Caenorhabditis elegans: one gene and its partner. The protein of the gene in region 1 purifies or fractionates together with the protein of each later gene. This does not show direct contact. Each region holds a gene or a part of one and is shown in the gene's direction. Other genes may lie near its edges. The genes, in order: R09H10.5 and T16G12.1.

Region 1 (7,888 bases):
AGAGTAACAGGATTTTCTGATTTATGCACATTTTCTTTGTATCTTTGCAGAATTTTCATTTACTTATTTTTTTTAGCAAAATAGCAAAATTAAATTTACGAGCTACACTCTACTTTGTTAAAAAATTGTTTTAGGATATTTGAATAACAATCCTGGTGATATAAATTTTCCAGTAACATGTGAAAACACTTTTTCAAGCATATAATTTGTAATCTGATCAGAAAAAATATTTTCTAGACCACCGTGATATTCACGTGCACATACACCACGAAGAAAGCTTGTTTGTGTTCCATTGAATAATTATGAAATAATTCGCAAAACAATTATTGCGTGCAACCTTCTATTAGTGCATTTTGTTTGATTTAACGTGCCAGGTACTCGGGGCAGCCTTATCAAATCTATTTCCAGCAAAACTTTCATCATTTCCAGCTGACTTCATTAAAATTACCACTTCCGAAAGTTGTAAGAACTTTTGATAGGGTTTCAAAAGACTTATGTGACGCATTTTTCAATACTGGTAGATTAGGCAAAGTAGTAAAGGGGATTGGCTATTAGAGTCTTTGAGCACAGATCACAAGTAGGTTACGCACTGAGGCTACACGTGTCAAACTAGATTTAAACTCAATAAAAGGGGGTTCTTGAACAAAATTCAAATGAATTGATTTTGCTTCTACTTTTACAGTTTTTTAAATATTTGTTATCTTCTGAACAATCTCCATTTCTGATCTGTAAGATCAAAGGATTTATCTATTTTGCAAAAAAAAAATTACATATTCGCCGAACTTTGAGCTTGTATAATACAGAAAACAAAACTGTTTCCTTATGAATTTTTTGAACCATGTTAAATTAATTGACTAAAGTTCAGTAGAGAAATAAGATTATTTTTATTTTTCAGGGTGATCGAGTTTCCACAAACATCGGAGTGACAACGAGATGCTGTTCGGAAAACATGTGTAACGATGTTGGAATTGAGAAAAGGACCAAGAAAGATTCAAGTGCAGGGAAACAAAAAATTGAACATTAAATTCAATGAGCGTTTTTTAAGTTGAAAACAAAGTTCGAAAACCGTATTTCTTCTATTAGTATGGCTGTGACTAATTCTCAAAGGGGCAAACTTCAGGACTGCAATGGCAAATATCAATATTAATATCAAGATTTTCCTGTGTTTCCGATTACTACTTTTCATTTACTTACTGTTAAAATTTCAAGTAGAATCAAAAATTTCAAGATTCAAAAAAAAAGATGATAATTGCTACAAGAAATAACAATAATTCCAATTTTTATCATTCGTGAGGTGGTTTTCTGACAAAAAAAATGAAGGCAGAGAAAAATACATACAGATTGACTGAAAATCAAAAATTCCGGAATCCGGATCTTTGGCAATCCGTAAATCAAAATGCAATGTAATCAATAATGCATTTTTCAAATATCCAACTTTCGTTTTATTTCTCCAAAAAAATTTAATAATAAGAATTGAATACACATTCGATAGCGCCCCATTTAATTTATGATTGTACTTTATATTTTTGAGGACCCAAATAACCAATAAAAGTTTCAAAATGAATAAATTCATTGATAAGCTAATGGGCGAGTACAGGCTAATAAAAACTGCAGTTTCCGATAAGCGATGCATGCCATCGAGTTGCCGATTTTGACTTCAGTTCGGTCGTCAGAGACCAAACCAAAATGGCGCCTGCTACAAAGGCCATTGGATTGCTACTGGTTATTATAGGATTGGGTAATTTTTTTAATGTTTTTCAGTTTAAAAAATACCGTATTTTTCTTATTAACGTTGAATTTTCGTTTCCCCATTTGACAGCTCCTTGTTCAAATTTGGTTCTGATTTAAAAAAAAATTAAATTTATGTTGAATCGGTTCCAATGTAGAAAGTGAATTATAAAAATAAATAAATAAAGAGTTATAATAACTGTAATTTTTATCCAAGTATTCCAAACAAATTAATTTTTCATAGACAAAGTTTGTCTGAATTTCAAATTTCAAAACGCAGAAACTTATTTATTGGTTTTCAAAAAAATTTGATCACCATTTACAGCCGCTGGTGTTCAATATGAAATTCGTGGTAACATTGATCTCATCAACAGTTACGATATCCATCCGGACTATTACAATGAAAAATCATTCACGGAAAAGTTGAACAAAGTTTCGGAACGGGTGAGTGACGGTGCATTACACGAATTTATTTTTCAAAAAATTATTTTCAGTTTTCACAAGTTGTTGGACCAGATTTCAAAGAGTTTTTTGTTCATGATTACAAGTGAGTACTGGAAATATTTAAAGAAGATGTATTCTGAATGAGGGAATTGCTGAAAAGTTTAGTTGAAGAAATTTACAATTTCTTTTGATTCTATAGCATCTTTTGGAACTGGAACTTTTTTATTTTTAATTTCACCATTTCATATATCTTTATTCAAATACAAATATGAAAAATACAGAAAATTTCGAAGAAGTTGTTTTATTAATTAACTTGAAGTAGTTTATAAACTGAAACAAATTTAGTTTTTGCAATATTTTGTTCAAATATAACATTTTATTGAGAAAATTTAAAATATTAAAATAAATCTGATACATTGAAAATTTCTTTATTTACATTTTGGTCCATTTTTCACACATTTCTATACACACACAATAATAAGATAATGTTTCCACAGTTATAATTTAAAAACAAGCAACTCATTTCCCTCTACCGATCAAAAAATTTCAAAAAATCATTCATAAATCCAGAATTCACGGTCAAGACACCGCAGTCTTCCATGCTCGTCTAACACTTGTCTCATCTCTAACAGTTTCCCGACAAGACATCATTGACCAAATCGTGGCGACGGACGACGTGCAAATATATTTCTTGCGAAAAAATGGTATGGTTGAACTCTATCATTGTGCCCCGTTTGTTCATTAATCAAATTCCGCCTTTCATCAATGTTAATTTTATCTACACTTGGTGGTGGAAACTGTAAAATATGTATTCTTCAAAGCGCAAGGTCGTAAATTTTGTGTTGCGTCAGAATGTGCAGTACACTTATTATTAACACCTAACATCAATTTCAGAATTTGAAGTACAAGGGGACAGTGTTTCGAGATTCAGAGTAGTTCGTGCTGACGTGAGCAATTGCTTGCATGGAGGTATTTTATTGCCAAATGCTACCTGTTCTTGCTTACCATACTATTCTGGAGCTAACTGTGAAGTGGTGACGTATGTTTTTATATTTGAATGTTTTAAATATAAATTTTATTTTCAGTTGCCGCAACAATGGTATTGGATCAAGTGGAAGATGTTCATGTCCTCCTGGATTGTATTCTGCTCATTGTGAAGCAAGTATGCTTTCAAAATCAATTTAAAAAATCAATTTCTGAAAATCAAAGTTTTCAGGAACTTGTGTCACCAAGATTGACTCCGTCGTTGACTTCTCGTCTCAGTCACTCATTATTGCTATCAACACTAGAACATCGATGGCATACGATTTGAGCATGATCATTGAAAATATTCCAACATTGGTGACGGATTACCAAAGTCAAGGAGTCATTCTTTCGAGCTTCATCGTCACCGTCTACAGATATACAAGTTAGTTTTAAACATAGTTTTGGTTGAAAACTTCAAATCTCAGAATCCGTATACTTCATGGAAACGAGTGCCTTCACAACATCCGATGCTATGATTGATTACCTTCACAGTGTGACCATTGCTCCATCATCTGATGATCAACCTCTTCTTGACGCTATTGCTAACTCTCAATCCACGTGGGTTTTAGATATTTTCAATAACTGGAGATCTTCAATCAACTTAAATGATATAAAATAAATGTTTTCAGCCAGCCAACAATGAGACCAAAATCAACTGTTTATGTTTTTGCTGATTCTGAGAACTTATTGGATCCAACTCCCTCAACGCTTCTCAGTAGCACAAATGAAAGCATGGTCATCCAGCAGACTCTTGCCTGGAGAAATAAGGTCATTTAAAGCTACAAACTCGTATACTTTTTCCATTTCAGATTATCTTTGTTCTCTCCCAAACGACATCAAGCCCAATTGAGCCAACTGGAAACCACTTCGATGTGCTCCGCAGAGTCGCTACGGCTGCTCATGGAGACATTTTGATGATTGATAAAACGGAAATTGTCGAAGTGAGATCATTTCTTATAACTCTAGATCAAAGTTACTCAATTCTCAGGTTCTCACTCATCTTCTTTTCTACACAATTGGTGGACAGAATACATATGTGCAATACTACAATAATGTTGCCAAAAATATTCCAGTGCAGTCGGATACACCAACACAAACAACATATATTATGATGACAGTTGAGAATGGAGAATCACGTTAGTCAAAAAATGGAATCTGCAAAATTGATGTTTTTTTTTTCAGTTCCAAATATTCAAGACACCAATGGTAACACATTGAAGCCCACATCCTCTGGACGAAGATTTGCTGTGAGCCTGAGTTAAACTATCACCTATCACATAATAAAAATAGGTTTTCAGGTTTATCGTGTATTCCAAAGTTCAACCACATCAGTTACCATCACAGGAGACACAATTCCACTTCATAATACTCGTGTGTGGTTCACTTCAATGGACGATGTTCTTGTGTCATACTCTGAAGATGATACTGTTGATAACAATTATGCTCACACATTCAATGGATATTATCAACGGCCATCTCTATATTCTTCGTTTGCTACAACTACAAGTCTCTCAGTTTCAACCGCTAATTCTGTCACTTCCGGTGTGATTTCTGCTGCTGTTACAGCGACAGCAAAAGCAACATCATGCATCTTCCAGTACCAAATCGCAAATGCTACTTCGTGTACTCCAGGTCCATATGTTCATAATGTGGTTGTGTCTGCTTCCGATGGAAACAAGTACCGTGCAGTTCCAGGATATTGCTTCACGCCAGGTATGTAGTCTATTTCATTTTTCCGATCAAATACGACATTTTTAGATTCCCACATGGCCGCTCCGTGGTCATGTCTCAACAACGGAACCCGCTCCGGAATAAGCACTTGCTCATGCACAGCCAACTGGGGTGGACTTCACTGTGAAGTTCCAAAATGTGTGAATGGAGGATCACCTGACAAGTTCCCCAACGGTGGTGGTCATGGAAACTGCATTTGTCCATTTGGTGTTTCTGGAAGTTTCTGTGAAATTTGTAAGTTTTTCAGTCTTCTCTGAAATCAGATTCATACCTTCACTTTTTTAGTGACATGCAGCACCACATCCCCCGACACCTTCCAATCTTACAATCGGTCATTTGCTGTTGTTGTTCAAAACTCTTTATCTGCTAATCAAGCTCTTGTGCGGCTTAATGATGGTCTCCGTGCAATGCTCAATCAAGGACAGTCTAATGATTTTGAAGATTTTGTGCTTACGACATTCAAGGCTAGAACAGTCAACGGAGCATCATTCCCAGATGTATCGTCGTCCAAGTTCAGCTCAGCATCTGCTTTCCTTAACGCTACCAACGACATTGGAATCGGATATTCATATTCTCCAAGTGGACCTCAGCCAGGACTATTCGCCTTGGAAACTACAATGAGATCAATGGATTTTGATAAATCCTCAATTTTCTTCTTCACTGATTCTGCGTCTTCGGTGGTGGAAGCTTCGATGAACTTCTCCGATATTGTGTAAGTTAAGAGTATTAAAAAGTTGTTGTTTGTGAATTTTTATATGTATAAGAATGGTACCATATTTTTTTCCGTCAACCTAGATTTCGATTTTTATCAGTTAATATTATTTAGAATACTTTATCTTTCTTCAAATTGTTTGTAATGTCCGTATCTTCGATCAACTGAATTTCAGTCAAACCGCAGTGGAACGTCAAATTGAAATCTCTGTAGTCATCATTCCACCATATGGATCCACTGACTTCTGTACCGACATTGGAACATATGAGATTTATGAAATCCTTGCACAACAGACTGGTGGAAACTTTATCAATTTCTGTCAACCGTATACTACAAACGGAGATCCTGTGTTCAATGTACGTTTGGAAGATTTAAATGTAAAATAAATTCTCTGAAATTCAGTTCATTGCTTCGTATGGAAGCACTCATCATCACACAGAGGTTGTTGCTTACTATAATGTTATGGATTGTTCGCTTTTTGCATCCCGTTCGTTTTATATTTCAAGCGCCACAAATGATGCATATGTTGTCGTTTATTCTCGTAAGTTGATCAAAACCAATTACGATTCATGCGAAAATTTTCAGCTACGATTCAAAACTTTACTGCTTCCGTTACTAATAATGGTGTATCGCAGTCGTTGGTTGCTGATTCACATTCAGTGCCATTCTTTGCCAGTTATCAAATTAAAATCAGTGCTGGATCTTCGTTGCAATATGTCCTCCAACTTTCCTCTAATACCAAGGCACAGTGCTTTGTCAGAATCACCGAGCGCAGTCAATTCTCCGCTTACCTTGGATTCTCTCCTGATCCATCATTTGATCGTTTCAGTAGAGATCTGACTTATGCAACTCATCAACAGCCAGTCATTCATCTTTCTTCAACTCTTCAATCTGATCCATCAATTGATGTCACTAGTTATGATAACAACAATAACATTGCTTTTACTTCATTGTTCACTAAACGTACATCTGGATGCAAGTATGAATACATCATGAATCAAGAATACACTTGCCAAAGTGCTGGAGATACATTCACAATGGAAACTACCATTACGACAAATGAAGTGACAATCATGAGAACTCAAAGAGCTTACTGTAGTGATTTGATTGGATGTATCAATGGAGGAATCATGTTGGGTGGAAATTGTCAATGTGTCAATGGATACACGAGTCTTCACTGTGAAGTACCAACATGTCAAAATGGTGGTTCGGTAGTAGACTTTAAGTGTCAATGTCCTTCTATATATGATGGAGATTCTTGTCAATACACAACCTGTAACACATGGAACTTTGTAGAGACTCATGATCCAAGAGAGTATAACTTCCAGCAAATTGTTTTTGTCGTCGAAATCAACACCAAGAATATGATCCTGCCAAATTCGTATCTTTTGAAGAATATCCAAGCATTTGTGGATTCTACTGATGACGTAAATGTTCCAAAGCAATACACTCTTGTGACCTTCGATGACACTAACATCAAAGTTGTTGCATCTTCCACGCGAAAAGATGTTTTCTTGGCAGCCTTCCAAAAAGGTATCACTGTTTCAGTGAATAGTCCCACCAAAGTTAGAGGATTGGAAGCTATTAACACTGCATATGCAACACTTGTCGATCTTCCTGGAATTGTTTATGTGTTTACTGCAACCAATTCAGCAAGCAATCTCGATGCAGTCAGACAACGTTATGGTGTTCAGGTGAAATTTTGAATATATTATCCTTTTTTTGAAATTTTTGTCGCTCTAAAGATTGAAAATGAATACTTAAAACTTCTGAATTTACTTACAGGTCAACATGATTTGGATGGGAGCTGATCTCACACCTGTAAACGTAAACTATTATTATGCAGCCATTGCAAGACAATCAAATGGACGAGTCCTTCCAGTCAGCCCACTTCAAACTCAACAGGTTATTTAATCAAAAGGCTTCGTTTTTCCAAGCAAGTATTTCAGATTCTGAGCGCTCTTACTCCAACTGTCAATGAGAATCAATTGATTCTCGATGATGCCGCCAAGGATTGCAGTGCTGGAGTGAACTTCCAGTTCCCAGTCGGAAGTTTGGCTACGACACTTACACTTGTAGCGACTGGAACTGGCGTTTCAGTTACTGTCACAGATGAAAAATGTAAATTTATTTTGTATTATTTTCCCAGTACTTGGACAACAAGTGCATCTTTTGATTTTCAGCCAACAACGTCGATTTGACCAACTCCACTACCTTCACCGATGTGAACACCTTGATCAGAACAAT
Region 2 (5,227 bases), on another chromosome or scaffold:
AATGCAAAAAGAAATGCGAAAAATATTCGAAAATCGACGAAAATCATGACGAAAGATTTTGGGATTCGATTTCGAAATTGCGAGTGTGCGGTTGCGCGTCGCGGTGTACACAGAATCTGTGCATACACCGTTGCGTACCGTACTCCTCGAAGAATCTTAATTCCAACTGTTGAAGGTTTTGAGAGGTGATTCAGTGGATTTTGTGATGGAATCGTTGGAAAAAAGATAAATTTGCGGAGATATCGAGGGAAAATTGAATTTTCAGATCATTTTTATCGAAATTTTGTGCAAAAACGAAGATTTTGGAGGAAATCTCTGCTGAAAAGAGATAAATCGACGAGGATGGACCCGCCACGCGGTTTTCTTGAGAAAACAAGTCCTTTGAACACGAAAATGACGACAAAAATGCGATAAATCGCAATTTGACTTCAGCTAATCCTAGAAATTGCATCATCTGTCGACATAAAATTATCTAAACGCGGAAGGGAGGGCCGAGCAGAGACATTGAGCCTAGATTTCAGATTTTGACTGAATTTTTAGCACATTTTATGACGAAGCAAAGGGAATTGAGCTGAAAACGACGAAAAATGGGTAGTTTCATCGAGATTCTTCAGAGAAGGATGCTCCGGGGGGAGATTCTCTTCAGAATCGAGTTTACGCAAGATTACGCAAGATTTTTTGACCAATTTTAGCTATTTTAACGCGGAAAACTCGTGATTGAGAGCGATAAAAGGCTAATGATACCAGTTGCGAGTGTGATAATCGAATTGGAATCAAGATTACACGTAGAAAATCCAGATTCGTGTGTGAAAAAACGAAAATGAATTGGAGGACGACAAATATTCGAAATTCGAGCGGGAGAGTCGAAATTTTTTCGAAAATTGACAAATAAAACCAGATTTTGAGCATGATAGAGTCAAAATTTAGCTTTTTATGACTGTAAAGATCCATTTTCGAATGGGATAGTCGAAAATGAACCTAGAAAAGGCGATAATTGAAAGAAATCGACTTACCTCTGACCGCTGGAAGCCGCGCCACGTGCCTCCCTGACTCTGGATCCGTTTCCGGCTCGGAACTTAGTGATTCACGAGCCGGTTAGGTCGATGCACCAATGTTGACACCCGCAGTCGCTGGGGAGTCAGACCCAACGGGTGAGAACGGCGAAATGTGTGTTCGCGCGGAGGACACGGAGCTTGAACGAACGGCGGATGACGATGAGCGGTGCAGAGGGAATAACAGTACACTTTTAGATAAATCCAAGTTTATTATTGAATAAATAAATGGAATTATCAACGGGAACAAACGGATGACGTGGGGACGGGTGGCATCCGTGGTGAAACGTGTGAAGACTGAATGAGTTGGCCTAAAAAGGCATCTGAATATTTGTGTGGATTTACGGGAGTACGACGCTCCGCAATAACGCGAGTGTGCGGGGGGGGGGGGCGCACTTGCATTAGGAAATACGCAAATGGCGGTAATTCAAATAATAATATTTAATTAATTAAAGAATGGAATGTTTCTGAGTGAACGAATGGAACAGAGAGTGAGCGACTCATGCGGATGGTGATTGTGGGTTCGTGGGTGAACCTGACCAAGCGCCTATATCCGCAAAGTTGGGACGGACGGGCTCTGCGGAGCCCAAGTGACAACATTTATGGGGTTTTTGAACTACTATAAAATATCTTTTAAAAAAATGCCCACTGATATTTTTCCATCATTCACTAAATTTTTAACATGAAGTAATTATAAAAAATTGATGACTTAGCACTTGAACCAGTCATCAGTGAGACTAAAAGTCATTACTATCTTTTGATTACTAGAAACTCTGGAAGGAGAACCAAAAAATCACATCATAAACCATAAATTGGATTTAAATCGGTTTTGCGGTATTTGCGAACATTTGTTTTTAAAAACTGTAATCTTCATTAAATGCTCTAGAGATTCTCCAGCATCACTACCGATTCCCCAATTAGCGGACTCTGTCCCGAACTGACATTTTGGGAATTAGTATTAAAAGTGTGTCAAAAGTGATAAAATTGATAATTAGGTTTGTCATCTCGTTGTGATGTCACATCCCAGAAACCGATAAGGAAAGTACAGTGGCTGCTGCGTGCTCCGGAATAGGGAGAGCAAACTCAAAATTTCAAAGATAAAATCGCGAGAGGATTGTATAATCTACTCTTTTCATTTCGTGTGCTGCCGACTACGAAATGCGGCGGAAACTGCTTCTCTTACTTTGTTTTATTGGGCTCTTTAGCTTGATCTCCACTGCTCCTGCACCGAATAATGTTGGTTTGGAATCTGAATTCACAGGTTTGTCTACTTTTTAATAATGACGCTAGACTGCACATTCCCCCATAATTTGAAAAATTGATACTATATGTGCTTACAAAAAGTTAAACTAGGTGCGAATTTCCCTTGTGAATTTTGAATTTCTATGTGAAGCTGAGAATGTCCCACTCAACAAGCTACTTGATCTCCAAAATTGAAAGTAATCTAACGTGAAAATGTGAGAATTTTGGCATTTTTTATTGCCACTATGGCTCACTGAGCCGTTAAAGCTAAGCTTGTTACAAAATAGACTAGAAGGAACAATATAGTAATTTCTCATTTCAGAGGGACATGCTGAAACTATAAATTTGGAAGAAGTCGAATTCAATCATCCATCAATCTTGCCGGAACACCCAGATAATTTTAGACAGGATAAACTTGCAGCCAGGTTATTTCTTTTTTAGTTCAAAATCAAAATATTTAAAATCAAGTTCTTAAATTTACAGTATTTTAATTTTGGTGAAAAGTGCAAAAATTATTGAACATATAATTACACTACTCTTTGCCTCATTTGAGTTTGGAATCGTAATTTTTTTACTACGACGTAAAATGGTTTTGGCAAAAAAAGTTGTTATAGAACAAAAATCACTCGAAACATTGTTTTCAAATGTTCAATTTTATTGCAAAAATTGATAAGAAAAGTTTCGTAAAGATGCCGTATCTTGCATGTGACAGCTATCAACTATTCTGAAATTTTTATTCTAGAACTCATTGTGCTCTGAAAACATAATCATTACAAAAAATAATGAAAAATGAATTTCCAGAAAACGCCAAAGCCTTTATGTAACAAAAACACGTCTCCCACCAAATCTGTATGCCATTGACTATAGTCTATGGTTCCAACCATACTTCCCAAGCCCTGGAGTTCAATATGCACCAGGTACTAAACTTTTTATTACTTTTTCGAATGATGCAAGTTAACATCAGTATTACAGAGAAAAACTTCACATTCGACGGAAGAGCATCGATACAAGTGGAAGCATTGGTCGCATCGGACAGATTCATTCTGAATGCCTATAACTTTAAAATTCAAAGCTACAAAGTGGTTGATATCGATGGAACTGTAGTGCCAATCAACTCAATTTGTAAGGAATTGAACGTATATTGATAAAAAATACAAGAAAAGATTTATAGCACAAGATGACACTACGCAACAGTTATCACTGATTACAAATGCAAATGGTGTGGTCGCTGGTCAAATTTACAACATCGAATTTGTCTACACCGGTATTATCAATCCATACACGGATGGAGGGGTTTACTACACTTCATATAATGATCCACAAGGAAATACACAGTAAGGGGAAACAATGTAGAAAAGTGGTGGCGAAATTCTGTAACTTTGTGCAAGTAAACTCTCCAGAAAACATACAATTTATTGTTAGATTAAGAGTATATCGGTTAAGGGAGCGACCTCTGCTTTTTAAAAACTCGAAATTGGAAAATAAAATTCTAATTAAGAGTACCGTACTTTGACAGATTGATTATTATGTAGTCGATTTGCCGAAATTTTTGAAGCTCTTTTTTTATCGCTCATCACTTGTTAAATGTTTTGGGCAACATAATTGTCGAATTGCCAAGGTAGGCATAAAACAACATTTTTGGGGCCTGCCACCTACGTGTCTATAAAAAACACTGAGCCCAGCCAGTGCTGATATACTTCAAGAAACGATAGCTGAAGTCAATATTTTCACACTGATTTCTTGATTCGACTCAACCTCTTTTTAGCTACATGATTGCTACACATATGGAACCGTTCTCCGCTAGAAAAGTCTTCCCATCTCTTGACGAACCATCTTACAAAGCGGTAAGTGTTACAGAATAATCTTAGACAAAACAACTAAAATTAATGAAAAATTATTCTGTGACACTTTCAGAAATTCACAATCACTGTGCAATACCCAGCTTCCCAAGTTGCTCTTTCAAATATGATGGAAACAGAACCTACAAAAATTGAGTATGATTATCAAACAATTATTTTTAAAGACTTTATTTAAATTTTTTGCAGTAATATATGGAGCACAATTACATTCCCACAAACACCAAAAATGTCTTCATATCTCATTGCATTTGCAGTGGGGCCTTATGTGAATTCTCAATATGTCAATAAGCATAACACTTTGACAAGAGCATGGGGATGGCCTGGAACTGAACAATATCTTCAGTTCGCTGCTCAAAATGCTGGAGAATGCTTGTACCAATTAGGAGAGTATACTGGAATTAAATTCCCACTCTCAAAGGCTGACCAACTCGGAATGCCTGAATTCTTGGCAGGTGCTATGGAGAACTGGGGATTGATAATCTACAAATACCAATATATTGCGTATAATCCAACGGTATTTCTATTGAAAAAATGTAGAAAATGAAATGGAAAAATGGGATTTTAGACAATGACGACGAGAAATATGGAAGCAGCTGCTAAAGTTATGTGTCATGAATTGGCTCATCAATGGTTTGGAGATCTTGTGACAACTGCGTGGTGGGATGATTTGTTCTTGAATGAAGGATTCGCTGATTATTTTATGACTTTTATACAAAAATCTGTCTACCCACAGCAAGCAACTTATTTGGTAAGTTTTTGGGATTCAATCCTAGATTCAGTTTCATTTTAGACTGTTGGCTCATATTTGACACCAACAAGATTTTACATTAATTTTTCAAAATAAATTTTAAAACTGACAGAGAAATCTGCTTATCGTAAATCTCCACAAGCGTATATCTAAAATTAGAAAAATTTTAAATAACTTTTACAAATTGATAATCTGTTCCTCTTCAAATGCAAAGTTTATTCGATTTCAGGACACTCTTCAAGTGCTTGACGAGCTTCAAGTTGGGCTCACCGCAGACGTCCGATATGATGCTCATCCATTAGTTTATCCGGATGGACCTGCATTCG

Evidence for each region.
Region 2: the proteins of R09H10.5 (region 1) and T16G12.1 fractionate together in Caenorhabditis elegans (co-fractionation; one large-scale study listed by BioGRID). This does not show direct contact.

Annotation. Positions count from the first base shown.
Region 1 is NC_003282.8:10,622,613-10,630,500, reverse strand, and holds the start of R09H10.5 (EGF-like domain-containing protein), read left to right. Parts: upstream 1-1,671; 5' UTR 1,672-1,686; coding exon 1,687-1,738; intron 1,739-2,053; coding exon 2,054-2,172; intron 2,173-2,222; coding exon 2,223-2,275; intron 2,276-2,742; coding exon 2,743-2,876; intron 2,877-3,066; coding exon 3,067-3,211; intron 3,212-3,257; coding exon 3,258-3,334; intron 3,335-3,388; coding exon 3,389-3,580; intron 3,581-3,623; coding exon 3,624-3,756; intron 3,757-3,827; coding exon 3,828-3,966; intron 3,967-4,007; coding exon 4,008-4,139; intron 4,140-4,186; coding exon 4,187-4,334; intron 4,335-4,380; coding exon 4,381-4,445; intron 4,446-4,496; coding exon 4,497-4,911; intron 4,912-4,956; coding exon 4,957-5,163; intron 5,164-5,214; coding exon 5,215-5,641; intron 5,642-5,816; coding exon 5,817-5,997; intron 5,998-6,043; coding exon 6,044-6,182; intron 6,183-6,226; coding exon 6,227-7,335; intron 7,336-7,426; coding exon 7,427-7,546; intron 7,547-7,590; and 3 more. Other genes in the region: F56C4.4 (Activin_recp domain-containing protein), read left to right, coding at 896-1,024.
Region 2 is NC_003281.10:10,046,727-10,051,953, reverse strand, and holds the start of T16G12.1 (Putative aminopeptidase-2), read left to right. Parts: upstream 1-2,096; 5' UTR 2,097-2,210; coding exon 2,211-2,313; intron 2,314-2,616; coding exon 2,617-2,719; intron 2,720-3,095; coding exon 3,096-3,211; intron 3,212-3,266; coding exon 3,267-3,416; intron 3,417-3,465; coding exon 3,466-3,628; intron 3,629-4,059; coding exon 4,060-4,138; exon of another isoform or gene 4,139-4,208; coding exon 4,209-4,288; intron 4,289-4,339; coding exon 4,340-4,667; intron 4,668-4,718; coding exon 4,719-4,901; intron 4,902-5,130; coding exon 5,131-5,227. UniProt on the Caenorhabditis elegans protein: Putative aminopeptidase which plays a role in oocyte maturation.